Linked DNA regions of Rhinolophus ferrumequinum. The protein of the gene in region 2 interacts with the protein of the main gene of each other region in a pairwise test. Links are inferred from orthologs where the notes say so. Each region holds a gene or a part of one and is shown on either strand. Other genes may lie near its edges. The genes, in order: INCENP, CBX5, PRR14 and SUV39H1.

The links.
Region 1: the proteins of CBX5 (region 2) and INCENP interact in binary tests that used the Homo sapiens proteins (3 or more experiments, as listed by UniProt). The link is inferred for Rhinolophus ferrumequinum from reciprocal best matches to the Homo sapiens genes CBX5 and INCENP.
Region 3: the proteins of CBX5 (region 2) and PRR14 interact in binary tests that used the Homo sapiens proteins (3 or more experiments, as listed by UniProt). The two-hybrid records come from large-scale screens. The link is inferred for Rhinolophus ferrumequinum from reciprocal best matches to the Homo sapiens genes CBX5 and PRR14.
Region 4: the proteins of CBX5 (region 2) and SUV39H1 interact in binary tests that used the Homo sapiens proteins (3 or more experiments, as listed by UniProt). The link is inferred for Rhinolophus ferrumequinum from reciprocal best matches to the Homo sapiens genes CBX5 and SUV39H1.

What each region holds. Positions count from the first base shown.
Region 1 is NC_046294.1:8,945,957-8,953,555, forward strand, and holds the start of INCENP (inner centromere protein), read right to left. Parts: upstream 3,184-7,599; 5' UTR 3,038-3,183; intron 165-3,037; 5' UTR 154-164; coding exon 14-153; intron 1-13. UniProt on the Homo sapiens protein: Component of the chromosomal passenger complex (CPC), a complex that acts as a key regulator of mitosis.
Region 2 is NC_046293.1:54,025,490-54,032,976, forward strand, and holds the start of CBX5 (chromobox protein homolog 5), read right to left. Parts: upstream 3,371-7,487; 5' UTR 3,214-3,370; intron 1-3,213. Other genes in the region: HNRNPA1 (heterogeneous nuclear ribonucleoprotein A1), read left to right, coding at 4,011-4,025, 4,570-4,686, 4,984-5,130, 5,259-5,469, 5,567-5,659, 5,744-5,836, 6,125-6,199, 6,414-6,572 and 1 more. UniProt on the Homo sapiens protein: Component of heterochromatin that recognizes and binds histone H3 tails methylated at 'Lys-9' (H3K9me), leading to epigenetic repression. In contrast, it is excluded from chromatin when 'Tyr-41' of histone H3 is phosphorylated (H3Y41ph).
Region 3 is NW_022680357.1:609,013-616,734, forward strand, and holds the start of PRR14 (proline-rich protein 14), read right to left. Parts: upstream 3,148-7,722; 5' UTR 2,998-3,147; intron 2,195-2,997; 5' UTR 2,146-2,194; coding exon 2,123-2,145; intron 2,000-2,122; coding exon 1,831-1,999; intron 1,219-1,830; coding exon 1,097-1,218; intron 1,024-1,096; coding exon 834-1,023; intron 553-833; coding exon 509-552; intron 307-508; coding exon 197-306; intron 1-196. UniProt on the Homo sapiens protein: Functions in tethering peripheral heterochromatin to the nuclear lamina during interphase, possibly through the interaction with heterochromatin protein CBX5/HP1 alpha. Might play a role in reattaching heterochromatin to the nuclear lamina at mitotic exit.
Region 4 is NC_046284.1:85,898,813-85,906,396, forward strand, and holds the start of SUV39H1 (histone-lysine N-methyltransferase SUV39H1), read right to left. Parts: upstream 3,353-7,584; 5' UTR 3,247-3,352; coding exon 3,138-3,246; intron 2,837-3,137; exon of another isoform or gene 2,629-2,836; coding exon of another isoform or gene 2,610-2,628; intron 563-2,609; coding exon 417-562; intron 1-416. Other genes in the region: actin nucleation-promoting factor WAS, read right to left, coding at 7,294-7,349. UniProt on the Homo sapiens protein: Histone methyltransferase that specifically trimethylates 'Lys-9' of histone H3 using monomethylated H3 'Lys-9' as substrate. Also weakly methylates histone H1 (in vitro).

The DNA.
Region 1 (7,599 bases), on a different chromosome or scaffold from region 2:
CCTCCACCCTCACCTGGTGAACATGCGCTCAGCCTCTTCCTCAATCTCCTCGAGCCACACTAAGTCCTTATTGTCCACATTGCAGATAAACTCCATGAGCTTCTGGTCACACAGCTCCAGCAGGTGAATGGGCCCAGGGGCTGATGTCCCCATGGTGGCTCTGTCTGGTGAGAGTAGAGATAAGAGGGACAAGGGCTCAGGGCTGGGGACTGGAACCTTCTCCAGGAGAAGAGCCTGCCACGCCATAGCACCCATCCCCTATCGCCACAAAACCCCCAGTGCCTGAATCAGGGCCAGCCCGGTCCATAGCCATTCCCCAGAGATGCAGAGTTCCAAGTACCAATCCATTAGCCTCATTTTTGCGAAAATAAGGGCCCATAAGAGAAGAATTCTACTCACACTCTTCAAACGTCTTCCCTCTACCCACTCACAGCACGCTGTCCCCGTAAGTCCACACCTCCCACCCAATTCTGGTATCAACCGTCCTCCTTACAAATGGCCTTTTCTGAGGCTCAAAATGACAAGGCATGGCCAACTGCCTTCCTTACTCTCCTGCTCTTACTCTCCCGTGGACTCTCCTCTTCCTCCCTGTGGGTAACCAAGGACTTACAACTACCCTGAGCTACATACAAGCTGACCCCAGGCCTCAGGCCAAAGAACATCGAATCCAACTGCCTCTTCAAGAGGCCAGTGAACGGAAGGGGTTCTGCGTTCCAAAGGAGTCAGTAAGAAAGTAGGGGAGACATGCTCCTGTCCGAGGGGACCCCACAATCCTCTCCCTTGAGCTGACACGCCCTAGAAATAGATGAGTAAATGTGAGGGGAACGGATAAGCAATGTCTTATTTTTAAGAAAACTCATCTATAAACATTGGGTAGGGGTAAATACAAAACGAGTTTTCTCTTAATGTCTGAAAAACATGCAGCTCAGGTATCCTCCTTAAGACCTGGTTATACTATCATCACCAAAGCCTCAGGCAAGGAAGAAGCGTTCCATTACAGCCACAGCAGGGTCGCGGTTAAGATTCCGACTGGGTGGATGAATGAAAGAACAAGTGAATGGCTGAAGGTCATAACTCATAATAAGACTGCACGTCTCGTGCCATGGCAATCACCTACCACCCCTTCTAAACCAAGAACCACACAAAGTTCAGCCTCCCACCAAAGACGGAAGCTCCTGGAAGGGCTAAGTCACCCCTTGACACCCGATAGAGCTTAACACCAGGCCAGGATGCAGTCTCCTGAGACTTCCTGGGGTCTGATTTCCAGGGTGCACCACTTTTGTTCCTTGAACGAGCGCTGCCCTGTCTGGAATCTTCTGTCTCCTATTTTGTACAGCTCGCTCCTCGTCACTTGGATCTCAGCAACTCAGGGAGGCCCTGACCACCCACCATGATCCCATTCATCCATTCCAATTCTCTGTACGGCACTTGGGTGTTTGCTTACTGCCTATCTCTGCCCCCTAAACATGTGCTCCCTGAGGAAGCCCTTGCCTGTCTTGCTTGTAGCTGCACAGTACCTGGCACGAAAGAAATACTGGTTGAATGAATTAATCCACCTATCAACTCTACACTAGAAATAAGCATCCTACAGGTACTCCCCCACCCCACCCCCACACACAGGGACACCAAATAAGCTCCTTCTACACAGGTTAGGGCACACCACACTCGTCCTGCTCCTAGATGCCAAGAGCAGCACTAACCACGGCAGGGCCCATGGGCAGGACTGCAGAGGCTTTGGACAGCGACAGCTCTGCAGCCAGCCACTCACTCATGGGCATGGCCTCTCTGCTGCCATTCCTCTGGCTCCCTCCAGCCCCTCTGCCCCAGAGCTCAGCCTTGGCAAAGTGCAGGACCCCAGTTTGAGGCCAAGAAAGAGACAACGGATTAAGGAAGCCAAAACCAAAACAAAGGTTCGAAGAGGAGCTACAGAAAGCAGTCGTGTGGGGTTTTATTAAGTATTTGTTCAAAACGGCAAAGTGAGTGAGAGCTTCTTTCGTCAAGTGCAAAAAAAAAAGTGTTTGGGCTTCTTCCACAGGGAAGATGACCTCAGCTTTAAAAGGGGTCCCCAAAGTTAGGACAAAGGTGACCCTGACAAAGGAGCAACCAGTGTACCAAGACTGAGGCCCATGTAAGAACCTGTGCACAAACCCCAAGCACCCAACATCCCACCAAGAGAGGAGGGAGCTCATCTGTCTCTCCCAATACTTCCCTCCCACCGTACATCAGACTAGAGGCCCCACTGCCGTTTTTTGCAACGCCTGTTCTTTTAAGGATGCAGGAAGTTGGGCACCTAACCTCTACCACACCCCAGTGTAGAATGGTCATAATAGCCGCTCCCCTTTACCGAGTCCTACTCCATGCCCAGGCCAGGCAACATTTAATTCTCACCACAACCTCAAGGATACCCATGTGCATATGAGGAAACTGAGGCAAAGAGACGGTAACTCAAAGTCAACCTGGGGCCGAGACTTAAACGGTCCTCTTAACCACAAGCTAAGCTGCCTACTCGATTTCAGCCTCAGAAAGGCCGGCGCCAAGTTTTGACTCTGGGCACCCCCCCAGAGAAGGCCACAGTGACTGAACAGAACTGAATGCTGACAGCGAACTGCTTGCGGAGTGACAGGATAAGGGGCAGCACTGGCCTCTGCAAATGGTCAGTTTAAAACGCTGCTCAGCTGGAGGGGGAGGTGTTGGGCGAGGGTTAACTGTACAGAAATGCCACTTGGCATAATTCCATCACACAACACGGTCGGTGTGCGCTTCCTGCGCGTCCAGGTCAACAAAGGGCCTTCTAGGTACAAAGGGGGTAGGCACCGGGAGGGGACGAGGTTATTCTCTCGGAACCTGGGGACCTAAGTGGAAGAGCATCTTAGGCTCCAGGGCCAAGGCTGTTCACCTCGACTCGTGGCAGTGGTGACCTGTCCATTCCCAGGCCGAAAGTGGGGTCGGGGGGTCGCGCCCACGGTCCGGGGTTGTCGAGAGGGGTAACAAATAGCTAACCATCCCCCACCCCCGCCGGCCGCCCGAGCGCACTCACTCGACTGCACCGCGTCTCCTAAGTGCTGCTCTGATCCAAGTCCGGCCGCCTCTCTAGCAGAACCCCCCACCCACCCAGATCCTCAGCTTCCGAACTCCGGGACTCACGGTTCCTGGGAAGCAATGGGGCCTCACAGCGCGGGCGAAACCTACGATTTTCAAAACTGAAGGCTTGACCAATCCCCGGCAAGTTTGTCTGGGCGGCTGCAAAACTCTAAGCCAATCAGGTAAAAAGAAGCTCTAGTCAGGCCCCCTATTGGCTGCTTGGATTGGCAGTCTGCGGGAATAAGAAGCGGGGAAAGGAAGCGTTGAAACTTTAACTTGCTCAGCTTCCGGGAGCCGCAGCCCGCAGCCTGGAGGTTGTCGCGGGTGGGCGGGGGGGGCGGGGGGAGCGGGGGGGGCAGGCAGGCGGGGTGCGCGCGCAGGCCCTCTCACGCCGGAACCACAAGCCCCAGCGTGCATTGCGAAGGCCCCGCGGGGCGTGGGAGGCGCGTCCTTGGGGCGGGAATCGTAGACTTGGAGGTCAGACTTTTCCTGCGAGTCTTCAGCTGTGCTGTTACTTCACCCACATTTGTGCTCCATACAGGATGACATCCTTACGACTTCTGCCACTTTTGAGAAGTAAAAAGGAAACGCATTGTAAGTCGCGCCGGAGTTTGTATTTTAGTAGAACCCTACCTCATCTCTTGGGCGGCACCAACCAGGATTGCCCCCTGTACTGATCCCGAGTATTTGTTTGGAGTAGCGATTTTGCGCCCCACCCCTACCCCATATTTGGTGATGAATGACCACATTTTGTTGGGGCGGGGGGGTTGCTATTGGCGTCTAGTGGGTAGAGTCCAGGCATGCTGCGGAAAACCCTACAGGGCACAGGACAGTTCATACAGCAAAGACTTATCCGGCCCAGAATGCCAGTATCACTGCTCTTGAGAAACCCGGCTTCAGGCAATCACTTTACTCTGTGAGTCAAGGTTGCCATCACGTGTAAAAAGCAGTTTAGTCTCTCCAAGAGGTATTTGCACACCCATGCTCATTGCAGCATTATTCATAATAGCCAAGAGGTGAAGAAACCTAAATGCCGGTCAATAGATGAATAAAGAAAAAGTCCTTTGCCCATTCTTGTGTCATGTTATTTGGTTATTTTTTGTTTTTGTGATTGAGTTGTAGGAGTTTTTTGTTTTTTTAATCTATTTTGGATTTTAACCCCTTATCAGATACATGGTTTGCAAATATTTTTTCCCATTCTGTAGGTTGTGTTTTCACTCTGTTGATTCTTTGCTTTGCTGTGCAGAAGTTTTAAAGTTGGATAACCCCATTTGTCTACTTTTTATTTTGTTACCTGTGCTTTTGATGTCATTTCCAAGAAATATTGCCAAGACCTATGTCAAGGAGCTTTTCCCCTATGTTTTCTTTTAAGAGTTTTAGTTTCAGGTCTTATATTTAAGTCTTTAATCTATTTTGAGTTAGTTTTTGTGAGCGGTGTAAAATAGAAGTCCAGTTTCATTCTTTTGCATGTGGTTATCCAGTTTTCCCAGCACCATTTATTGAACAGACTATCCTTTCCCCACTGTGTATTCTTGGTGTCCTCATCAAAGATTAGTTGATTGCTTATTTCTGCGCTCTCTACTCTGTTCCATGGGTCTATGTGTCTGTTTTTATGCCAATACCATGATTTTTTATTTCAGTGGCCTTGAAATCTATTTTGAAATCAGGAAGTGTGAGGCCTCCAGCTTTGTTGTTTTTGCTCAAGATTGCTTTTGCTATTTGGGGTCTTTTGAGGTTCCTGATGAATTTTAGCATTGTTTTTTTCTATTTCTGTAGAGAATGACATTGGGATTTTGGTAGGGATAGCATTAAATCTGTAGATCACTTTGGGTCATATATACATTTTAACAATATTAAGTTTTCCAATCCATGAGCACCAGATGCCTTTCCATTTGTTTGTGTCTTCTTTTTCTTTTCTTTTCTTTTCTTTTATTTATTTAAGTGCGTTTTCCCAGGACCCATCAGCTCCAAGTCAAGCAGTTGTCTCAATCTAGTTGTGGAGGGCACAGCCCACATTGGCATGTGGGGATCGAACCAGCAACCTTGTTGTTAAGAGCACGGCCCTCTAACCAACTGAGCTAACCAGCTGCCCCTACTTGTGTTTTCTTAAATTCTCATCATCAATGTTTTATGATTTTCAGTGTGCAAGTCTTTCACCTCTTTGGTTAAGTTTTTCCTAAATATTTTATTCTTTTTGTTGCTATAATAGTTGTTTGAATAGTATTGCTTTCTTAATTTCCTTTTCAGGTAGTTCATTGTGTATAGAAATGTCCCTGATTTTTTTTTTTATGTTGATTTTGTACCCTGCAACTTTACTGAATTTGTTTACTAGTTCTAACAGTTTTGTTGTTTTCTTTTTTAATCTCTAGTGTTTCCTACATATATTATCATATCATCTACAGAGATAAAATTACTCCTTCCTTTCTGAGTTGGATTTTTGTGTGTGTGTGTGTCTAATTGCTCAGGATAGCACTTCCCAATACTATGTTGAAAAGAAGTGGCAAGAGTGGGCATCCATGCCTTGTACTGAATCCTGGAGAGAAAGCTTTCAGTTTTTCCCATTGATTATAATGTTAGCTATGGGATTTTCACATATGGTCTTTATTTTTTCTTTCAATACTTTGAATATATCATACAATTCTCCCCTGGCCTGCAAGTTTTCTGCTGACAAATCTGCTGATAGTTTTATGGGTATTCCCTTGTATGTGATGTCACTTTTCTCTTGCTGCTCTTAAAATTCTCTGTTGTCCTTGACTTTTGACAATGATTATAATGCATCTTGATGTAGTCTTTTTAGATTGATCCTACTTAGGATTTTTTGAGCTTCATGAATTTGGATGTTCATTTCCATACCAAGATTTGGGAAGATTTAAGCCATTATTTCTTTAAATAAGCTTTTAGCCCCTTTCTCTCTCTACTCTCTGAGACTCCTATAATGCATACATTGGTTCTTTTAGTGATGTTCTATAAATACCATGGGTTTTCTTCCCTCTTTTTAATTTGTTTTCCTCCTCTGACTGGATAATTTCAAATAACGTGTCTTCAAGTTAGCAGATTCTTTCTTAGCTGCTAAGGCTATTTTCTGCACATTTCATTTCAGTCATTGTATTTTTCAGCTCCAGAATTTCTGTTTGGTTCATATTTATGATTTAATAAATTGAATATATTAAGAAAACAGTCACTCCTGAATCACCTTTTTGATGCACAAAGGCCACCCTCAAGGGCTCCATAAAATTCTTAAGAAGGATTGTACAGACTACCAGCAACACTGTCATAACCAGCTTCAGTCTCGCTTTGCACTGCTGCTTGGCACATTACAAGTTACAGTGTTGCGTTATAACTCAGCATCATTTCAAGTACCACACATATAATTGTACCACATTTTTTAAGAATTACCAATGCATACCTTTCATGCCAAAACAAAAAAAAAAACTGGATTTAGAATGTTGTGCTTTTAAGACACAGCAAAGTGTGAATTATTTTGTTATCCAGTTAGATGGCAAAGCATTGTGTTTATTATGTAATGACAGTAAGCTGTGCTAAAATAGCACAGTACACATCAGCATTATTTCAGCACTCATCATAATATTCCCAATGATTGGAGTGAATATTCCATATGATCAGCAATGATCAGAAAAATAGAAAATTTAAAGCATTATATCTCATCACAGCAGAATTTTTTCATAAAACTAAAAAATGAATATTTGGCTGCAACCAAAGTAAGTTTCCTAGTGCCTCATTTGTTAACCAAGCAAGGAAAACTAACTTGGGTGAATTAATTAAATCGTGTTTAATTGCAGCAAAGAAAATAAACTTATTTAAAAATATTAGCCTTGTGGTGAGAACAGTTGCTCAAAGACTTGAGGGCATTGGGAGCAATATCAGCAGTTATGCCAGGCCAAAAAAAAATGGCTCTCAATGAAGATGGAGGCAGAGGTTGGAGTGATGTGACCACAAACCAAGGAAGCCAGCAAACACCAGAAGCTGGAAGAGGCAAAAAACGGGTTCTCCCTTAGAGCCTCGATGGTGAATGCAGCCTTGCTGACACCTTGATTTCAGATTTCTGGACTCTAAAACTATGAGAGAATTTATTTCTGTTGGTTTAGACTACAAAGTTTGTGGTAATTTTTTACAGCAGCCCTAGTAAACAAGTATAATAGTTGATTAAAAAACAAGTCAAATGATTTTTAGTGGTTTTGCCTGGCTCTTATGCATTGTCAGATGTCACCAATACTGCTAGTTATTGTTTATTTGAGGAATGCATGCTGAGGTTGACGTGACTGAGGAATTAGCCTCTATAAATAGTCTGTATGAAACAACTATAGGCAAGCATATTTTCAAAGAAGTTGAGTAAACAGGAATTCAGTACAACCTGAAGTGGAATCTTCTAAGATGTGTTACAATTGCAGCGGGTAAAATAGGAGTAGAGCAGAAGATGAGTTAATTGGACAAATTTACAAAGCTTGTGAAAATGTAAAGCATTAAAAATCTATGATTATTTATCGTGTTATTTGTCAG
Region 2 (7,487 bases):
AGTGAAGGTGTGTTATTTTCTCTTTCAGGTTTGGCTGCAATAGTATGCCTCTAAGATCTAAGCACAGGTGCTTGAAATTTAATTTTTGTAACTCAGGCTCAACATTTTGTCGTGTTAACAACCAAACCAGGTTCTACAAAGGCAATGAAAAAAGTCTGAAGTTAGACAACGTGATAGTCTCAGAGTTTCAATGAAAAATTACCCACTAAAATTTACCCACCAGAGAAATGTTCATCATGCCTATTATGACATTTTAAGAGAATTCACAGTAAAACAAGCAATTTTTACTTGCACACCACAATAAACCAAGAACTCTATGTTCAAAGCCTGAAATCTTTCAAATGAAAATATATCAGACATCAAATAAGGGTTCACTGATTAATTTGTTTATAAATCCAAGTAGCTGGGGCCAAAGATGGGAGGAATAATCTCACACAGAGAATAATCTAAGGCGGCATAATTTAGTTACCTATTCTTTAGACCAGTTGTTTTTCTTTTTTCACTAAACTGTGGATCTGTACAGAGCTGTGAAATCAGTTCAGCAGAAAATGACCTGTATTTTTAAAAAAAGGAAATAGTGTACTGTAGATGCAAAAATGTCAAGAGTGCTTTGCACATTTATTTGTACAGTGAAACTTGTTTCAATGTGTGTACAGGGTCAATATAAAATATATTTTTTATTAAGGGTCAACATCTAAAAAGGTTTGAGACATTGATCCAAAAGAATCCCAATAAAGGGCGGCCCGGTGGCTCAGGCGGTTAGAGCTCCATGCTCCTAACTCCAAAGGCTGCCAGTTCGATTCCCACATGGGCCAGTGGGCTCTCAACCACAAGGTTGCCAGTTCAATTCCTCCAGTCCCGCAAGGGACGGTGGGCAGCGCCCCCTGCAACTAAGATTGAACACGGCACCTTGAGCTGAGCTGCCGTTGAGCTCCCGAATGACTCGGTTGGAGTGCATCCTCTCAACCACAAGGTTGCCGGTTCGACTCCCACCAGGGATGGTGGACTGCACCCCCTGCAACTAGCAACAGCAACTGGACCTGGAGCTGAGCTGCGCCCTCCACAACTAAGACTGAAAGGAAACAACTTGAAGCTGAAAGGCACACTCCACAACTAAGATTGAAAGGACAACAACTTGACTTGGAAAAAAAAAAAAAGAAAGTCCTGGAAGTACACACTGTTCCCCATAAAGTCCTGTTCCCCTTCTCCAATAAAATCTAAAAAAAAAAGAAAGAAAAAAAAGAATCCCAATAAAGGAAAGAGGCTTAACTCAGGTGAAAATGTAAGAAGCATCTGAGGCAAGTATATCTTTTTAAAAAAACGTATTTGCCATTATTTTAGAAAGCCAAACAGAAGATGCAATCAAACATGTTTAAATAGTAAACACCTTAATGAAATTTTCCTTCTATCCAATGGAACACTATATCTGAAGAGATAATCATTAGGATTTAGTAATCCATTTACTAAAAACCACCTCCTAAACACATCACCACCCATCTTCTCCCTCTAATTTCCAATTGGTAAAAGATTTTGACAAAATAATCAACTCTAGCATGTCAGTTTAGATCAATGGTTTTCAACTGGGGATTATTTTGCCCAAACACCCAACCCCCAGGACATCTGGCAGTGTCAGGAGACATTTTGATTGTCAAAAATGGGGGTGAGAGGTGAGATGCATTTGCAGGAAATGTCAATAGTGCTGAAGTTAAGAAACCCTGTAGATCAAGACTATTCTTTTCAAACCTATATCCTTTTAATTCTTAAAAATTAAGGAGCCGCATTTTGAGCATACCTACAAATACTTTATAAACAACGTGAAATAGGTTTGTCCTTTGGGAAGTGCCAGAGAACATGGAAATCTCTCTGTTCATATCTCAACTAAAATCACCTTTTATAAGTCAGAAATGTTCTCTAACCATAAGGATACTTCATATGCAATTGAACTCACGGCAGTATTCAAAGATTTTTTTCCCTTGACTCTAAATAAATACATCAGTGAGTAAAGCAGTATATATTCTGATACAGCCAAAATGTAATGAAAATTTCTGTATTTTAGTAAAAATCTTGGAATAAGCAGAATGGGCATTACCAACAGGGAATGGACTGCATCTAAAAATAAACACTTTTAAGGAAATATAATCAAAAGGCAATGAACTAACCCAGGTGATGGATGAGCCCTTCTGTCCCCAACACCCTAAATCAACAGACTTTAATTTTAATCACAAATTATTATTATCCCTGCAAAGATTTAAACATTAGAGATCTAATCTGCCTCAATGCCACTGTATTCCTGGGGGTAACACACTTTGGTCTGTAGCTTTCCAAAACTTTTTCTATGGACTTACAAATATCGAGTTGTATGTGGAAATATGTATTATTACGTAGATATTCCTCAGGCACCTTTTCAAGACAGTACAATCTCTATTTGTTCTAACATTTCAAGTCGGTCTTCCTAAAGAAGCTAGTTCTCAAAGTCAAAAGACCTTCTTCCTTGCTCCCCCCAAAACCTATGGTGGATGGTGGGATGTACTGATGTGTGTGTGTTGGAGGGGGCGGGGGGATGCCCAACTCGACGTACACAGGAGCAAACGTATCGTTTCCATACCAGGGAGGCTTATGCGATGGAGGCCTAAAGGCTTCGTTAGAAAAGTCATAGTGGATAAAATATCCATCCCGAAGCGCCATCACAGGCATTGAATCCCTTTCCTCATCAACACAAATCCAGCACCTCCGTCTTTTGGAGCGCTGATTGGACGACCCGGGAGAGCGCTCTCAGTAGGTTGTCCTCCTACTGGCTCCAGATTTGGTCCATCCATTTTACCGCCCAACTCCCGCATTTCCCATTGGAGTCAAACCGCTGCCTCTTAGAGGAGCCCAACCTACCGCGCGCTTCGTGCTCATTGGCTTAGTGAGACGCTGCTCAGAAGGGGAAAACCCGCCTCCCACATTCCGATGGCCCAAGGACCGATCAGTCGGCAGCTAAAGGCAGACCCAATTGGCCTATACACTCGCCAGTCAAACTCTTAGACGGCAAAGCTCCACAGAACTTACAGGGATAAAACATCCCGCCCCTGTTCTTCCATTGGTTGGCCGGACCCACCGCTCCCCCTCCGCTAGCCCCCACCCCGCGGTCCATTCATTTCACACAATAACGGGCCCATTTGGAGTCGGTTCAAGACCTCGTATGGGTAGGCAAGACTGTCCGCCACTTACCCGGGATCGAGACCGATCACTCACGCTAATGTCTTCCCTGTTCTTCTGTGGTGAGGCCGGACCACAAGCCACAGCTGCCGCCGCCTTCTGCGCAACGCCAACCGCCCGCCAAAACGGATCCTTCCCTGCGCCTGCGCGACCAATCCTGGGACCAGACCTTTTTCTCCGCCCATTACGCCTGCGCAAAACGAGGCACAACTCCCGCCACAACGCAGGCGCTGTAGGTTCGCCGCCGTCTCCCGCCCGCCATTTCACGTGTTCCAAGAGTCAAGCGGAACTTCTTATTGCGCCTGCGTAAACTCGCCATTTTACTACACATGCGCTCAGCAGGCGGTTGTTGCAAACAATAAAATTAATATGCTATTTTTTAATACACTGCATTAATCATAAATTGACAACTGAATAGAATGTAATATTCGGGGCGTGGAGAGCCAAAAAGTTATTCAAATACCTTCAGGATGTTCAAATATGAATGATTGGTTGGCTAGCCAATCACACTAGTCAGGAGTAACATTACACGGGAACCAATGGACTCCAAGGGGTGGAGACTACGTAGAACGCCCAAACGGATGACGTTACACAGCAATGCGGCACCACAGTCCAATAGTAGCAGGAAGCTATTTCAAATATCCAGTCAGAGCTACTCAGGGGCGGAGTCTACCAATGCCGTAAGCGAGGAGGCGGGATAAAACAGCGAGGCCGAAGGTAGGCTGGCAGATACGTTCGTTAGATCACTCCTTTCTGTCGGTGGACGCCGCCGAGTAAGCATCGTTAAAGTCACCCCTCCCGCGGTCGTCATGTCTAAGTCAGAGGTAAGATGCTCTGTCCAACTTAATTTTCTTCCTCGCTCCTTTCTGAGTTGGGTTGGATGCGGCCTGGATTGGTTGTTTGCGCCAGCCCATTCGGCAGTTCTTCGGTCACTGCCAGGGCCTACCCCTCCCGAAGTTCAGGTCGCCATTTTGTCCTCGTCGTCGCCATGAGGCCGCCGTTCTGCAACCCTTAGTTATCACGCCGGGTTTGGTCCTCCTGGTAAAACTCTTAGGCACAGTGAACGATTTTTATCTCGTCTCAGTGGGCGAGTTTTTTTTTTTTTAAGCAGCTGTGGTCCCTTATTGGCGATGCACTCCTCCCGCCCAGACCTTTTGTTGGCGCGTGCGTCGGAGGGATTGTAGGGGCGCATGCGCTCGCCGTTTCCCAGCCCCCAACATAGAGCCTCCCCAATGGGGAGAAGCACGTGGCTTGCTGCGACCCTCTGGAACAATAAGTGCTATGTACGTTGCTGTCTCGTTTCTCTTAATTGGAAGATGTTTTGCGATACAGACCGACATAACGCTTTCCCTCCCCCCCCACTCTTAGTCTCCCAAAGAGCCTGAACAGCTGCGGAAGCTCTTCATCGGAGGTTTGAGCTTTGAAACAACCGATGAGAGTCTGAGGAGCCATTTTGAGCAATGGGGAACGCTCACAGACTGTGTGGTAAGACCTGGAAGAGACAAAAGAGCACTGGAACTAGTTGATTTCATTGGCTTATCTTGTTATACTTACTGTCCGAATGCTTTTGAAGATTGCTAACAGGATTATAGTTGGAAGTAACTTGGCAAGGGAAGGTGAGGCTTTAACTGATTAAGATGTAAATAGATTTGTTAGATGGGTAAGATTAAGTTGAAGGGCTTTGTATGAGGGCTAGTATAAAGTTTCCTGCTACCTTATCCAAGGTAGAAATGACAGTAGTTCTTGGAGTCTTAATATGTGTTAAATGAATTAATATCTCAGGTGATGAGAGACCCAAACACCAAACGCTCCAGAGGCTTTGGGTTTGTCACCTATGCCACTGTGGAGGAGGTGGACGCAGCCATGAATGCAAGGCCACACAAGGTGGATGGAAGAGTTGTGGAACCAAAGAGGGCTGTCTCAAGAGAAGTAAGTGTTTTTTCTTTCCGTTAGTCATATAGAAGTGTGCTACTAGGTGGATGTTACGTTCAGGGATGTTGGCAAACTTTAATACTGATTTTGCTGATGTAAGTCACTTAATTGGATTTTTCCTTTAGGATTCTCAAAGACCTGGTGCCCACTTAACTGTGAAAAAGATTTTTGTCGGTGGTATTAAAGAAGACACTGAAGAGCATCACCTAAGAGATTATTTTGAACAGTATGGGAAAATTGAAGTGATAGAAATCATGACTGACCGAGGCAGTGGCAAGAAGAGAGGCTTTGCTTTTGTAACCTTTGATGACCATGACTCTGTAGACAAGATTGTCAGTGAGTATCAGATGACTGGTATTTACCAAGGGGTTTGAAATCCATATCTTTCTCTAAACCCTGAGAATTGTCCCTTTTCATTGTTGAAATTTTTTAGTTCAGAAATACCATACTGTGAATGGCCACAACTGTGAAGTAAGGAAAGCCCTATCTAAACAAGAGATGGCTAGTGCTTCATCCAGTCAAAGAGGTGGGTTTGTTGCTTTTAGTTAAACCTTAAATAAAGGTAACTGAGCAATTACAATCTGTGGTTTAACACTTATCTCTTCTTAAGGTCGAAGTGGTTCTGGAAACTTCGGTGGTGGTCGAGGAGGTGGCTTTGGTGGGAATGACAACTTTGGTCGTGGAGGAAACTTCAGTGGTCGAGGTACATGTGGTTCTGCTTTATTGGGAATTAAGGGTAAGCTTGTGATGTAATTACCTGCCTGACTTGTGCTTTTTACAACCTGCAGCTCTATGTAACTACTGACTGGCATTTCTAAAGTTACAGTTTTATCCAAATGTAGTTCTGGTTTCTGCTAATCAGAAGTTAAAATCTTTGGTGTGGAAATCATTTTAGTAGTACAGGAACTGCTCCCTGAAGTAGACTTGAAAGGCTATAATTATATGTGATGCACGTACTCCGAACCTGCTTTAAAACTCCACTTTCTTCCAGGTGGCTTTGGAGGCAGTCGTGGAGGAGGAGGATATGGTGGCAGTGGGGATGGCTATAATGGATTTGGTAATGATGGTACGTTTGTGTGGTTTTTGTTTCTTTAGGAATACATGGGTGGAAAGTTTGTGGTAACCTATAGTCTATACTAGGTTAGTAGAGACTAAAACTAGTGCATGACAAGCTGAACTCTGACTATAACAGCATGTGACCAGGCTGTTACCCATTATGCTTAAACAGATTTTGATTGTTGAATACTTTTGTCTTATTGAGAAGAATTGTATTCTTGTAGGTGGTTATGGAGGAGGCGGCCCTGGTTACTCTGGAGGAAGCAGAGGCTATGGAAGTGGTGGACAGGGTTATGGAAACCAGGGCAGTGGCTATGGCGGGAGTGGCAGCTATGACAGCTATAACAACGGAGGAGGCGGAGGCGGCTTTGGCGGTGGTAGTGGTAGGTATCCAGTGATCCAGGTACTTGGTGCAGTAGCTAGATTAGCCTTGTAGAATTTGTGCCCGTATGGGGATTTGGTGCTCTTAAAGCATTATGTGGTACGCTGCATGGTATTTTTTAATGGACTTGCTGTGCTACCTCCTCCTGGCTTTAAGCTGGGGCCGCCTCACTCCCAAATAGATGAATAAATGGATAGTGGCATCTTCAGCTGGAATCAGATTAGCTTCTAGCAGCATTTAGTATCTTTGGGACTTTAGGCACTTAGTTGATGTATCCAGCATGTTTGCAGTGCCCCTGAATGGGTAAAGGCCTTCAAAGGCTAGAGAATGTTCTGTGTCGTGGTGAGTTGGGTAAATTTTTTAAAATACTGGATTATTCAACTGAATGCCTTGCCAAGAAAGGATGAAATACAATCAAGCATTGGAGCCATCAGTTTGGGAGGAAGGCAGGCAGGTCATGTGACTTCCACTCTGAACGCTAGAATTCAGAACAGTTGTCTTTGTTAAGTAACAGATAAAGGACCTCTTTCCATTCCTAGGAAGCAATTTTGGAGGTGGTGGAAGCTACAACGATTTTGGCAATTACAACAATCAATCTTCAAATTTTGGACCCATGAAAGGAGGGAACTTTGGAGGCAGAAGCTCTGGCCCCTATGGTGGTGGAGGTCAATACTTTGCCAAACCACGAAACCAAGGTATAATAGGTGTTTATAGTATTGGAAGGCTTAGTGTACCTATAACAAATGAGTAAAGAATATATTAAGTATTTAGGTGATACTGCGTAGGCAATCAAAAGCTGACAATTTGAAGATTTCAGGATACTATAGTGACTTGTATTTTGCAATCAAACTGAAAAGCTTAAATTCTCAAGTTTGGAGTTTGTTGATTGAAATATACAAGCGTTAATTATATTGAC
Region 3 (7,722 bases), on a different chromosome or scaffold from region 2:
AAGCCCACTCCTGAAAAACTAAGCCCTATCTTTAGGAGGTGCGCATCAGGCCTCTGAAGTCTAAACCCCATCTTTACACACCAAGCTCCACCCTAGGAGGGGATTAGGCCCCACCCCCACCTCTGCACCTGACACTTAGAAGCTCAGCTAGGATTTTCCAGAGCCTCAAGTCTCCTCCGTGTCTCTGAGTCCTTACCTGGCGATGGGTTCTCCAGAGGGTCTGCAGGCAAGGAAGATGGCTGGAATGGGGGTTCCAGGTCCCTGGGCGGAGGCATTGGCTGGTTCACCATCGTCACGGACTCAGCTCTGGAGTGAAGGGATAAGATAAAGGCTGGGGGAGCTTCCAGGTCCAGATCCGACCTGAGCCAGCACCTCCCCTGTCCCTTAAGCCTTCTGAAGGTGCTACAAGAAACAACTGGACAAGTCCATTCTGAGGCCCTTAGCTCTGGCTGCCTAGACAATGGTTGTTGCCTGGACATCTTAATAATTCCTTCCCCAGCCGTCTCACCTTCTGGCTGGGACGATGAAGTTGGGAGCCTTGTCGGCGAAGCCCTGGATGTAAAAAGGGGGTATTTGTGGGGAGGCAGGGAAGCCCCGCTGACCTCCCTAGCTTCCCACATCCCGACTGTCTCTGTCTTCAGATGCCCGCCTGGGCTCACACCACAGACTTTTTCATACAGGTCTTTGCTCCAGCAGTGTCTTCTGCCTAACCTGCTGTCCTCCTGGCTCTGAGCAAAGGCCACCCAGGACTCAATCCTCCTACCTGTCTCCTACACCCGCTGAGTGCCTGCCCCCAGCTGCACCCCTGCCATCCTCACCCGAAGTTCCCATACCTCAGCTGGGGGTCTGGGGCTGGCAATGTCTTCTAGCATCACCACCAGAGTGGGCTGGGGGCCCCCGTCCACCGCTCGTGAAGGGCCCTCGTCTGGGCCAGGGGTTGGCTGTGATCGACACCTCAGAGTGGAAGGAGACCGATGGATGTGGCTCAAGGGCTCTCGGCATAAGTGCAGGGGGTCGGGAGGCCTGGAGAGGGAACACACAGATCAGAGGGGCTCTGCTGTGTCCCCAGCTGCCCCCCAAATCCTGCCATGCTCACCTGGCCTGGGACAACCATATGGCTTTTTGGGGTGGCAAGGCAGGCGGCTGGTTTCGGACAGAATCCTGACAGTTGGCGGGGTGCCGTGGGGTGGAGGTCTCCTCTCCTGGCACTAGGGGGGCCTAGGAGACAAGGTGTCAAGAGTAAGATGAGGGAATGAGTTGGACTGGACAGGATCTCCCTGTGCCTAAGTGTCCTAGGCCACAAAGGTGACAGAGGTTGTGGCTAGAATTCACTCAAGATCCCCAAAGAGGTGAGTCAAACTGAATTGGGGGTCAGATATTAGTGTTGTGAGCTGCAGCTGTGGGACCTGGATCATCTCACCCACGCTGTTTGGAGTGTGAAAAGAAGGTGACTTTGGGTGAGTCACAGCCCTGTTTGGGACTTCAGTTTTGCTATCTGTACAATGGAGCCAATGACCTCGGTCTGCTTCCCAAGGATTGCCTAAAAGTTGGGCTGGGAAGCAAGCAGAAGCGTTTCTCGTATTTCCAGAGTAGTAGGGACGAGGTTCCAGCCCCACTGGCTTGGCCGTGGGGAATGGGCACTGGAGACCCCGCCCAATTTGAGGAGGGACTAAGAGAGCCAAGCAGAACGTTAGCATTATGGAGGCCGGCTGGGCGACGGGTGTGAGAATGAAGTGTTTGGAAGTCAATTATCCTCATTAGTGATCTGGCCTAATTGGTACTGAGGAGGAACTGGGTTGAGAAAGGGGCTTCTCAGTTCGGGGGGCTCACCATATGGGCAGCCATGACATCTTCCAGCACCACGGCCAGGACCCGCCGAGAGGCCTTTTCCAAGGGTGAAGGGGCCACCACGGGCTGCAGCCTCGCCCGTTTCGGGCTTCTGGCTCCCCATAATGCTCGAGCCAGGGGCTGGCGGCATAGACGTGGCTGGCCAGGCGGGCTGGAGGATGAGAGAAGCAGAGGACGGTTGCCCAAGCCTGTCGTTGGCTCTGTGGTTCCCCTGTACGGCCGCCAGGCTCCCCGTTTCCCGGGCTCACGACAGGCTGGCGGGGTGCACTCTCACCTGGAGTCCCCGGGCAAGTCCATGGGGGAAGCGGCAGCTTCGGGGAGTCCCTGGGGGATCCCAGGCTGCAGCCTGGGGTAGGGTGGGGAGCGGAGGAGTGGGGAGTGAGGGCCAGCCCTTCCCCTGGGGCTCTGCCCTTCATGGTCCACCCGCAGCTCCCGGTAGCCCACGGGCCGGAGACCTGGGGCGCGAAAGGGCGCCCTCGGTCGGCCGTCCGGAGCGGGTGTCTTCCCACAGCCGCTGCCGCCGCCGCCGCGATCAGCGGATCACTCGCGCACTTCTGGGCACTTGCCAGGAAAACCTGGATTGCAGCAGCCCCAGTTCTGCCACGGCCGGAGCCTCCTGGGGCCTTTGTCCCTGCAGATTCCGCCCTGAGATTCCCCGGGATCAGCTAGGATCCCGGTCCTGGAAGGCTCAGTTTCCACCAGATCCCTCCGCGATCCTCATCCACTCCCAGCGAGCGACCAAGGGCTCTGAAGCAATATTCCCACACGCCGACGACTTCCCCCTCCCGCCAGATCCCCTAGACTGGATCCAAGAGGAAAGAATCCTCCAGCGCGGTTCCGCCAATCAGACGCCGCACGAGGATCCTCCTCTCCCTGTGAGCTTCGGCTCCGTAAAGCTCCGCTCAGCCAGGGGAAGACCGAGCTTGAGCAACGCGAACTCAGTCCGGATCCCCGGGGATCCACTGTCAAGCGGATAGCCCTCCACTCCAATCCCGGGAGGTCCCGCCCACAGACCCCCTCCCTCTGCCCTCCCAGGATCCCCGCCCAGGGCTCTCCCCAGCCCGGGAACAGATGGTTCAAACGACTCCTTCCCTCCCTCCTCCCGCCCTCTCTCCAGCCGCTCGGTTCCCTCCCCCGCGCGCCGCTCACCGCCGCCTCCCGCGGATCCCGGGTCTTCGACGGCTCCCACCTGCGGCTCCTTTAAAACCAGCCTTTCCCAACACTGCCCAACCGCTGAAGGCCTTCTTCTCGGAGCCTCCGGACTGCGTCCAATCGGCGGCCCGCGTCTTCCTGGGTGGTGAGAAATGAAGTGAAGCCTCCTGGCAGCCATCATCCCTAGGGGCAAACCGCCCAATTGGGCTGTGCCACCATGATAGTTGAGGGCAGATAGCGCCGTCCTCAAGGCACGGAAATGGACCGGGTGGCGTCACCTTCTAAGGCCAGGCAGCGGCCGAAGACTATGCCAAGTTTCTCGAGCTACTGAGATAACTGTAGCGAAGCTAGAGTGTCGCCACGTTTTTTAAGGGCATCTTCCGGTTCTTTAGCTTTTAGGCCAATCAACAAGAACTGAGCGCTAACGATAGGTGAAATTCCCAATTTCCTAGAGAGGCCCCATCGAGGCCGGTTCCGGTACCACCCCGGGTTCCTCAACCGGGTACCCACGTCGCAGCGAACAGTTAGGGAGAGGGTGGCGAGGGCCGGACTAGGGGAGTGCCCCTCCCGACCCCGTCGCTCGCGCGGTGTCCTGGAGAGGCTGAGCTGAGGCAAAGTGGGGGCGCCGAGTTTCCCTTTACCCGAGTGTTGTGCACTTCTTCTTGGAGGAGTGGGAGTTTCTGCGGCGGGTGCAGAGGGCTCAATATAGGGGCGTCATTGCAGGAAACCAATAACCAACTTGGCGTGCTCGCTTTCTTCTCTGTTCCACGTTCCCACGAGCCCTCTTTCAAGAGAGGCCAGCCTGGTGGGCGTGTAAATAGTCCTTAGTAGTTACGGGCCAGGGATGGAATCCTGGAGCTTGGCATTTTTATCGGGAGCAGGGCTGTTGGTGGGAAGGAAGTGGGTATGTCCTGGCCTCTTGCGTGGTGAAGGCGCCTTCACTGCCCAACCAAAGCCCGTGCCTCCATTAGTTCTCCTTCCCTGGGAGTCCCTGGTCCAAACCAGTCCTTCTATTCTTTTCTTTTTTTTTTTTTAAGATATTTTTTTTTGGGGGGAAGAGGAATAGGACTTTATTTGGGAACAGTGTGTACTTCCAGGACTTTTTTCCAAGTTGTTGTCCTTTCAATCGTAGTTGTGCTCTAGGTCCAGTTGCCTTCTCTAGTTGCAGGGGGCGCAGCCCACCATCCCTTGCAGGACTGGAGGAGTTGAACCGGCAACCTTGTGGTTGAGAGCCCACTGGCCCATGTGGGAATCGAACCGGCAGCCTTTGGAGTTAGGAGCATGGAGCTCTAACCACCTGAGCCACCAGGCTGGCCCAGTCCTTATTTTCTTAATGCAAGAGAGCCTGAAGCCTAGAATTCTTGATCTGATATGAAGGTACAGAGTGACCTACCCTGCTCTGCATGATTGTCTATTAGAGGGTTGAGTGATAAAAGAAATGGCACAGAAAGGATGATATGGAAAGAGCAGAATCAGTAAGAGTAGGTGTGGAAAGCGAAACCTCCCCAACACTGGAGACCCATCAGGGTAGCTCTCCCAGGACTACAGCTACTCTGTAACCCAAAGCCTGCTGGGTCTTATGGAACCCCATGATGAGTCTTCTGGAGGACGCAAGCGGTAGGTAGCTCTTTCAGATAGAGGTGACTTCTCTCCCCTGGATCAGGGCTGGCTGCATCGAGCCTCAGGACGTTCCTTGGGGTATGGCGCATCCAGCCTTGAATGCTTGGAGACCCTTTTCAACCTCAGTGTGTTGAGAGGCGCTATGTAGGCTCTCACTTAATTGCTTAAACACACAGGTGCTTCCCAGGCCCCAAGGAGAGAAAAGCTTTCAAGGGCAAAGCGTGCCTGATCTGAGTTTCAATTCTCTAGGTCTCCTGAAGAACTCAATACCAAGGGCAAAGGAAGTAGTCTAAAGAAAGGGCCTGGGCCTGAGAATCTGGTAGGGAGCGCTCAGCCCTGAGATCCAAACGGATGCTGGAGTTCATCAAATTGAAGTTCTAGACACCAAGTTGGTGTCTGGCCTCAGTCCAGGCCAGCAACTGCAAGCCTTCATAGCTTCACGGTCTTACTCTGTCCTCTGTGACTACCATTTCAACAACTACTACCTTACCCACCTGTGTACACACCCTAGGGCATGGCCAGTGTGTGCTAACCCAGTGGCCAGAGGCCCCACACGGCCTCCAGCTGGTGATGTGGCTGGAGGCTGGTGTTAGGGCACCTCATTCTTCAGAAACTCTGGGCCCCTTTAGACTCTGGGTCTCCCACCTGCTTAACTGTTCCCTGGCCTTGGTGATTTCATTTGTAAAATGAGAGCAATACACCCTGTCATGCCTATCTCAAAATAGACTTGGAAGGTCAAGATCAACTGAGGAGACACAGCTGAGTGTGCCTGATAAATAAGTCTCAGGCTACAGGTAGAAAGAGGATGATAACTCCCCCTTCTTCTGTATGAGTATCCTGTGCCTTCCGGTCCCTACGAGAGCTGCTCTGCTCAGTAGCTCTCTCCACAGGTTGAGGATCTCAGAATCCTGGTTTTTTTCTGGGCTGATCCGAGGGAGTTCCTAGAGGTTTCCTGTTGTTAGCAAGGAGTGTGGGGGGAAGACCTTTCACAGGAGCATAGCAATGCCCCTAACTGAGGCATTTTATCAATCCCCATGGACAAGAGGGACTCTTGGTGAGGGGTCAGTGGGCCCAGGATTCGATAGAACTATGAGCCAGGTATGGGGACTTGGGGACCTCTTTAAATCAACTATCCAGGGGAACTCTGACTCACATCTTTGAATTTTCCCATGGCCCTCATCCTCACCCCTCCAAGAACTGTGAAAAGCCTCATGGACTAAAACTGGTTACAACCCTGAAATTCTCCCTCTTTTCCATCAGTAAACAAGGGGAAGGAAACATAGAAGTCAAGAAACCTTGGGAGATAGAGATACCAGTGCCAGAGCAGGTGCCTCACCCTGAGACAGAGAACCAGGGCCTGGCACTCAACGATGCCCTGACGCCTTTGAACCCGAAATCTCCATCCAAGTCTGTGTTAATCCCCCACTGCAGACTCCATGAATGTTGCCTTGACTGGAGCTGAGTTTTCTGCAAACTCTACCTTGGATTTGCACCCGAGGTGCATGGCCTTGCCTCTTCCCAGAGTGTGGCTGGTGCTTCTCTAGCAGCCTAGTTGCTGATTAGCCTCTCAATACAAGCAGTATTGGTACAGGCAGTACCCAATAATGTTTCACTACTGTTCATGAAGTGCAGGGCCCTTTTTAGCTCTCACAGGACATCACCCAAATGAGTGAGTTAGAAGTGGCCTCACGTCTTTCTCAAAGGTCTCAAGTATTTTTCCTGGCTACAAGCTCTGATTAAGCATCAGCAGAACCACCCTCAGTGGTAAAATAAACAAACAAATAAATCCAGATACATATTAAGAAGCAGCCAAAAGAGCTTGGGTCTCAGTTCTTAGATCCAAATCCAGAGATATCTTCCGGAAGTCTAGGTTAGTCAGCCTAGGAGAGTAAGGGGTGGGGGCGCCAGGGATTTAGGAATGGGAGATATCTGAATGGCCTCAAGGGATGAGAGCTGAAGAAGAGCAGGTGAAGACCATACCCCCAACCTTCAAGACTTCTCCAAGAATAAGATTATGTATGTATGGCATTTTCTCACTGCTTCAAGATAGGAGCATCTTGTTGGAGGAGGTCATCAAGAGGACATGATGATTGGTTGGTCTGCGAACCAAACCCAGGCAATGAGAGGCTCCTCACCGCCTCCCCTCTCCTTGGAGGGTATGTTCTGCTTGCCAGTCCCACGGTGGGAGCTGTTTTCAACGATACGGCATTGAGAGAGTAATGTGTTGTTGAGACCACCTGGACAGGATACCTGGCTGAACCCTATTAAGGCCTCTCTATAAAATTTTAAGATTCTGGCAGGTGGAGGCAGAGATCCACTTGTCTTGGGGTCGCCCAAGACAAGCCTTGTAAATAAGTTCTCTGACTTATTAAACCTGCCTTATTAAACCTACCCATCTGGATTGGTCTGCCTCTTGCCTTCGGTCTCTCCTTGCCCTTGGTGTATGAGGACCACTTTCAGATTTCACCTGGGATATTTCCCAGGTTACAAACCAACAGCTTTCTTCCTGGTAGGCAACTTCCATCTCCCTCAGATAATAACTCCCTTGAATTAACTGCCTACTATAAGACCCACACGTACGGTTAACTCCTTTAAACTTCAGTGACAGTGTCTGTAAGGTAGATAGTATGACCCCAATTTCACAAAGAAACGCACACCATCAAGATGAAGTAACGTGCTTACCTTATACAGCTGCCAAGAGGTGGGGGCAGGGCTCAAGAGTTTCCCCGACTCCTAACGCCTAAGCTCTTTCCATTGAATTATAAGACCATCACAAGTCCTGTGCCTCATATCTGTAAAGGGAGTTAATTATGGAATGAAGGTCCATTGTGAACCTCTGGAAGTAAAAAGACCATCTCTTGCTTGGGGGGAGGGGCAGGGGGCACAAGGGAAAGGGGAAAGGAAAGAAAAAAATTTTAATTACTTCGATATTTTTGAGCAATTGCTGTATTGAGAAGCAGCTGTATAGCATAATGGGTTCAAAGTAGGATACATTGAATTCTATTACTGGCTCAGCTGTGTTACCGTGAAGTTTCTTACTGGACTGAGCTTGAGCGCCCCCGTTCGGAAAGTGACGTGATCAGCCTCAAGGGCGTTGTTTGG
Region 4 (7,584 bases), on a different chromosome or scaffold from region 2:
TTAAGATCAGAGGAGAAAAGGGTACTAGACTTAGCAGAGGGATCACTTCATAAAGTATATAAATGCCTAACCACTGCATTGTACACTTGAAACTAATATAAAATAATATTGAATGTCAACTATAAATAAAAATATATACATATGTATAGTCCCGGGATATAAACTACAGCATAGGCGATACAGTCAACGGTATTGTCATAGCTATGTACAGTGTCAAGATGGGTAGTGGTCTTGTCGGGGTTATCACTTTATAAGGGGTGTAAATGTCTAATCACTGTGTTGTTTGATACACCGGAAACTAAGACAGACAGAGAAAATTCCCTTCGGAAACAGATGCAGGCAGTGGGGGGTAAGGGGGCAGGAAGCCAGCTTCCTTGAGACACCCCCAGCCCCAGCCACGGTCACCCCAGACTCACGCGGATCTTCTTGTAATCGCACAGGTACTCGACTTCAAAGTCATAGAAATTCCTCTTGGAGATGCCGAGAGCAGGGCAGGAGAGCTTGGCCAAGCGGCACAGGTCCTGTAGCTGATTCCAAGAAGACTTGCAACACACACTACAGCCTAAAACAAGGGGGCCAGAAGAACAATTACTGGGCATCCTGGCGAGCCCAGGGGTCAAAGGGTACCCCAAATCCTTCCTGGCACTTCCAAAGGACTGCCTCAGAGTCAGTGAAATTTAATCCACAGGCCTTCCCAACGCTAAGACCTTTATATACTACAAAAATGTGTCACTACCTTCAACCGCAAGGCTCACTGTCCAAGGCTACTCCTGGCGGCAGACCCAAGGGAGGACCTGCTGCATGGATTGTCCTAAAGGAATTTATTCCCAGAGCTTCCAACTCCCTCTATACCGTTCCTAAACCTGCCTGAAAACCTGCCTAAGGTTCAGGACCTAATCCTCCTCCTCCACACTTTGCAAAAGAACCACCCCTCCACCCCCTCAGTAGGGTGCAGTGGCCCAAGGGCCTAGATGGGATGGCGTTAAAACTTCCAGGGCAACAAACCTACGGGAAAGACTGGTCCACAATCCCTGATCTAAAATCCCTGAGGCCAGATGTGTTTTGAAATTGTTTGTTTGTTTGTTTACAAGTGTAGTTCAGGTATTTCCCATATATTACCTAACACCCTCAGTGTGGTCAGGGGCTTCAAGCCATAATCAAGCACTTTAATAATTCTGAAGCAAGAGTCTGAATTTTCACACTAAATAGGAGAAATAAAGATGCAAGATAGCTGCGCTGAATAGTTCCACCTTACAGTCTAGTTTTTCCACTGAATGGTGCCAAACTTTAGTTTTCAATGCTTTTTGGATTTCAGAATTATGAATAAGATTGTGGAGTGGTATTAGATTACAGGAAGCCTCCTTAAGGATTAGTCGGGGTGCCTTAAACCCACACAGTATATTTTTTCACATTGCATTTTGACTTTCTCTGTCTCATCCACATTTCTGTGAAGGGTAAAGCTTGCCCAAAGGAATTCAGAAATAAGCAAAACAGTAATAGGTTAGGGACAATAATGCTTTTAATCATACCTGAAATATTTCTGGGGTTACCAAAAATTTTCAAGACAGATTTTTTTGTTTAAAGCCTTCTGATTCAAAGATTCAAGGCACATTCTTAATGTGCTTTAGAAGCCATTTTATGAGATCATTTCACAGAACACTTATTCCAATGTAGTCAGTCCTCATCCTGTTAGTATTTTCTACCTCCCATTACAAAAATCAAACATTTAAACTCATGACGAAATGCTCTAGATGTCAGTCTAAAAATGTACAAGAGCTTTGCAAAATTATTTCGTGTGCACTCCCCCCACACACTGAGGCAGGCCTAGTGGAGATTCGGCCTGTGCCCACGCTTTCCTCTCCCTGTGACGTCTCTCCCTTTCAAACCCCTTAACTTGCATTTGAAACCCCACTAAAGTGGTCCCAGCTCACATCTCCAGCTGCTGGTGCCCCACTGACCACAGGTGGACTCTCCTACCCCGCAGAGGTCCCCCTCACACTTGTGGAACCCATTATTCCCGCAGCTTTCCTCACCCAGAGGAGCCCACCCCCCAACATACTGACAAAGTCACCCCTTTTCCCCTGCACACGAGGGAGTCCAGCTCTCCCATTCGGGAAGCCCCCTGCCCATCTTCCTGGGGGAGTCCTCTCTATTGTAGACCCTTCCCCCATCAGGCTAAGAGGAAATACTCTCCCCCCCCAAGGTTCCCCTGTCCCCCCACTCTGAAAAGGAGGTCCGTCCCCTTCCGGCGTCTCGCGTGGACACCAAGCGGGTAACGGTCACCGACGGCTGATTTTCCCGCGCGCGGGCGCGGCCTCCCCTACAAGCCCCCGCGCGTGCGCGCGCCGTCCGGTCGCGATGTGAGGCGCGCGCCCCCTTCCCGAGTCCCCACTTCGTCCCGCGCCCACCGCCTTCCGAAGCACGCGCCCCCTCCCCTCAGCCCCGCCCAGCCCCGCGCGCGCCAGGCCCGCGCTCCCAGAGCCCCAGCCTTTCGGCGCCGGGCTTTCAGATCCGTGGCTTCGGACGCCAGGGCCCCGAGCCGGCGACGCGACCCCTCCAGCCCACCCGGTCCGGCCACCGGGCCCGCGCCGCTGCCACCACTGCTTCACCTTTTAAATTTTCCGCCATCTTTCCCCACGGCTAACGACATTCGGGCCTAACCGGCCTCGCGAGAAGAGAGCTCGCGCGGGCGTGGCCGAGAACGCGCAGCCTATTGGCCGTGCCGTACCGCGAGCAGCGCCCCCGCGGACCAACCGGCAAGCCGTGACCGGACCCCTCCCGCCACTCTGCTCGGTCTCGAAGGCGGGTGCTCGCCGGCGTTTTCCCAGCGTGCGTCTGGGCGGTGGCGGCGGCGGAGGTAGCTGGAGGCTCTGACTGTCCACCAGCCTGTCTGTCACGCTGTCAGCCAATCCCGTTGTCAGTCAGCCAGACGTGGGGGGGATCCTCTGTGCTGTCAGAGCCCCAATTATCACCGTCAGGCAGCCCGTCACCACATGTTAACCCCGAGCAGGCCGTGACTCTCCTCCCGGGTGAACTATGGCCCCAGACTGCTACTCAGTCTCAAATCAGCTCCCACTCAGATCACACAATGGGTCAGCCACCACAACTGTCTAGTCAGACCCCGCCCCCTTTCATACCGTCAGTCACCAGCAACAGCCATCCGTGCTCTCGGGCCAGCGGCAAGTCCTTTGAGGCCGACATACAGTGCTTACTAACAGCTACACTGCTAGTCAGCCACTCTGTCATTGCCTGAGATTGTGTCTTCTTCACACTGGCAGTCACTCAAACATCAGTCTCTCCGTCTATCCTTGCCTGGCATCTGCTCTGAATCCCCCTAGGGAAGTTATCTCACACCCGGCTCAGGCATCCCTAACCACCAGCCATGCCTGCAGGCAGGCTGCGATTAGGTCTGACCAGGCTGGCTGGCATTGTCAGCATCTCACGTAGCTCTGTCAGGCAGTCACACTATCCACTGTTAGTTGTCAATGACTGTCATTCTGCCCTCGTTCCCACTATGATCAGGCAGTGATTCCCTCAGAGAAAATAGTCACAGCAACTAAAGGTAACATTAAGCCTCCACGCCACCTGTCAGTGGGTCAGCAGTCTGTACTTTCTCAGGGAGGCATGCCCTCCATTGGACAGTCAGTATCCTCTGACCCATCCGGGCAGTTGTGATTCTAACCTCATACAGCCATCGAGTCAGGCAGCTACGCTGATCTTTCTGTTGGTCAGCCAGCCTGTGACTCGTTCAGTCTGCCCCTCATCATATTGTCCATCAGCCAGGTAGCCATTCTCACCGACTGAGTACTTGGTCTGTCAAGCGTGCTGTGATTTGGTCAGGGCGGATAGTCAGTCACCAGAGACAGGTGCCTATCAGACAGCCACAGACCTGTCCATGGGTCAGCCTGAAATCCCCTCAGGATAGCCCTCCTTTACACATTGCCAGGCAGCGTAACATCCAAACACTCCCTTGAGCGGGGTGTGATTCCTAGCAGTAGTCATCCATTCACGGCGTCCCACTACCCAGGTGGGCAACAACACCATGTGTCAGCAGTCAGCCAGCATGTCAGTCCCTCAGGAAACTTCCCGTCTTCTACACTGTTGGACCACCAGCCCCAGCCAGTCCAAGGCAGGCTGTAATTCAGTTAGATATTCAGTACCGCACAGCATAGGGAAACCACACTGTCAATTCCTCAAACTGCCCCTCTCCCTGTTGGCCCACAAGTTATGTAGTCAACCAAATGGTTATACAGTTAACCAAATGGTTATTCTGTCTGCCTGCCAGTCCAGCTGTGAGCTGCTTGGAGAAATGAAAGGTTCCATCAGCTCCTGCTTGCCATGAATGGAACAGTCAACAGCATAAGTCCCACCATGGATTCCCCTTCCCTCCTTTATTCCTCCTAGAAGAGAGTCAGATGCCGGTCATCAAATGCCCCTAGTCTTTCCAGACAGGCAGGACCCTCCCACTCTGAGGAGTCCAGGAGGCCTGCCCAACCCATGAGAATGGTTTAAAGCATGACCTCTTTCTGTCTGAATCTGGAGAGGTGATGTGGGGGTCTTTGGGGAGCATTCCCTTGGACCTCCCCCAAATAGTATAAGAATATCGCATAAATGCCTAGATTCTACTAGCCCCATGACCTGGGTTCAAATCCCAACTCTACCATTTACTAAATTGTGTGACCTTAGGTAGTTTCTTCATCTAAAAAACCTCAGATGAGTGACCTTGGAGTGGGTATCTCCTGCTAACCTGGTAAATGAATCTTTCAAAAAGACTAGCACCTTTCAGGATACCTCAAAAGAGGCCACACTGTTATTACTGTGTCCTACTCCCAACCATGTGTCTGTTTGTTTAGTGTTAATTACTGCCTAGTGTGTATATTTCCTTGCCCAGTGCTGGGGCCAATACAGGGTTTTATTCATTACATGCCACACAAATTTGACCTATTTTTGTTGTAAATCCCATATTGGAGTATAGCACACATACAGAGAGTACACAGACCATGTGTGACCAGTGGAGTGACCCCATGTCTGTGCCTTTTACCCCAGGTCTGTGCCTGCTCTGTGCCTTTTCAGCAGCAAACATACATGTGGAACCAGAATGCAGGTTAAGGAACGTCATCGCCAGCCAGGGCGCCAGAAGCATTTAATTTGTTTTTTAACATCTCTAAAATCAGGCTGCATCTCTCATGCACTGGTGTGTCATAATTTAATTGGCAGTACTTTTTGTCTTTCTTAGTGATACAGAAAATAATGGTGCATTTTATAATCAGTGGTGACTCAGGATCAGTGACACCCAGGAATAACAACAGCAGCAGCAACTAATGTTTATATATAGATGCCTACAAGGAGCTAGGCACTTAGCAGATACCATCCATTTTAATTCTGGCCACAGCTGGTGAAGTAAGTTTTTCTATCCTCATTTTAAGGACTGAGGAAACAGGCCCAGAGAGGTCAAGCAACTTGCCCACAGTCAATTCTTTTACCCCAGGTCTGTGCCTGCTCTAGCTGGTGCTCCTGGGGATTCAAAAGTTGTGTGCTGTAAAGTTTTCTAGGACAAAGCCTGCCTAAGGGGTCCTCGAACACTGATTTCTAGGGCTTTGCCAGAAGGGTGGGGTGGGGGTAAGTGATATGACAGGACCTTCCTAGACTCAATGCTCACCTTGGAGACTTGGACGGGATGGGTGGGAAGTTGAGTGAAGGGTGAGGAATAATGAAAGAATTAAAGGGAACCTGAGACTCCCTCCTCCAGCTTCCCCAGCTTTAGGGGAATTCTTATGGGGCAAAGCCACATCTCCGACCTCACCACCCCAGCTGCCCCCACCACCTGGCTTTTTCTTTTCTTCCCCTAACCCTCCAACCCGCACCTTCCATCTCGCAGGTGGAAGAAGCCTGCCCTCTCTGGATTCCTCCTCACCTTTATCTTTCTCCCCTCTCACCTCCTCCTCCTCTAAAGTTAGGCTACCTGAGATCTTCAATCCGCCAGGTTCAGAAATGGGAAGGAGTAGGCACCGCGAATCCTAGGTTTTAATGTACAGGAGTTTGTCATTACTCCCTTGGAAATAGCTTTAAACACCAGGGACAGTTTTGAGTTGCTCCTTTTTTTTCTGGAGAGCAAGTCCTGGAGGAGGAGAAGGGGAGACCCAGTGGGATCCAAGCTGGAAATCTGTTACATATTGTTACCCCCATTGTATAGATGAGGAAACTGAGGCTCAGAGGTGAGGCATCTTGCCTGGGTTCTAGAGCAGATCTATCTGATTAGTAAGTTTTTGCCTCTTCCATTGTCATTGGCTAAGACTTGGTTTGCACTGGGGACTGGGCAGAACCAAATTTTAATATTGAGAGGGGGATTCTGCCCATCAGGATCCTGGGTGAGTTGTTATGTACATGGAGAGTGGGGAAGTCTGACCACCTAGTACTCTCTTGATCTAGTATTGTGTTGATTAAATGGTTTTTTAAAAATATGTAAGTGAATGAATAAATAACTCTCACTCATTCACCACACCTGGCTCATGCCAAGCTTTTCCCCACCTCAGGGCCTTTGCACTAGCTGTTCACTGTGTCTGGAATGCCCTTCCCCCAAGTATTCCCCTAGTTGACTCCTCTCTCTTTAGGTCCAGCATAACTGTTACTCCTCCAACTGGCTTTCCCTGAGTACTGTTATCTAAATGTCATTTCTCCTCAGCATGTAGTACTTATGATCTGTAACTATCTTTGGTTTCCATCTGATTCTTTCTTTCTTTTCTGTCTCCTCCCCTAAAATGTCCATCCCCAGAATGTTGGTCCCACTAGGGCAAGAATTTTAGTCATTTTTTTTCCAATGCTTTATCCCCAGTCTCTAAAGTAGTGCCTGGGAATAAATGTTTATGGAAAGAAAGAAGGGCAGAAGGAAACAAAGGCTAAAATGACCGAGAGAACAAATGAATGAATGGATTGTATACGTGTATGGCTAAGTAAATGAAATGGGATAGATGAGTAAAAGGGACCTTGGGTGAAAAGGACCCCAAATTCCCACATGTGGAATGTATACAAACGGAGATTTAGAGAAACAGAAAGACAGCTATTTTATTTTTGTTTAAAAATCCTTGAGTGAGGAGAAATTTTGTATAAAAAGGGCCCTGGTTATTTTGTATAAAAAGGGCCACTAGGGTGAGTGTGGGGGCCAGTCAGAGGTAATAGCATTGAAAGGATTGATGGGGAAGAAATACACCTTGGGAGCCTGGAAGCCAAGAGAGGAAAGCAGCAAGCAGGGGCTGCTAGGTGAGGGCGCGCAGAACAGGTGGGGATGGTGGTGACTCAGTCATCCCATTCATCGTCCTCATCATCATCTCCGGCCTGGTCCTCCCCTTCGTCTGGAGGGAGACAGAAAGAGTGGAATTCAGGATGAGCAGGAGGGCTCGAGAGCCCTGGGGGAAGGGGTTTCCTAGGGCCCGGGAGATCAGGACTCAGGGCCCTGGGGGGCTGAGGTCTCCTGCTAGGAAATCAGATCTGGGACCCATGTGTTGGATGAGGATGGGGCCTCCTCAGAGGAGGGAGAGTTAGGGTTCCTGTTTGGGACAAGATAGGGATTATTATTGGGGTCCAGCT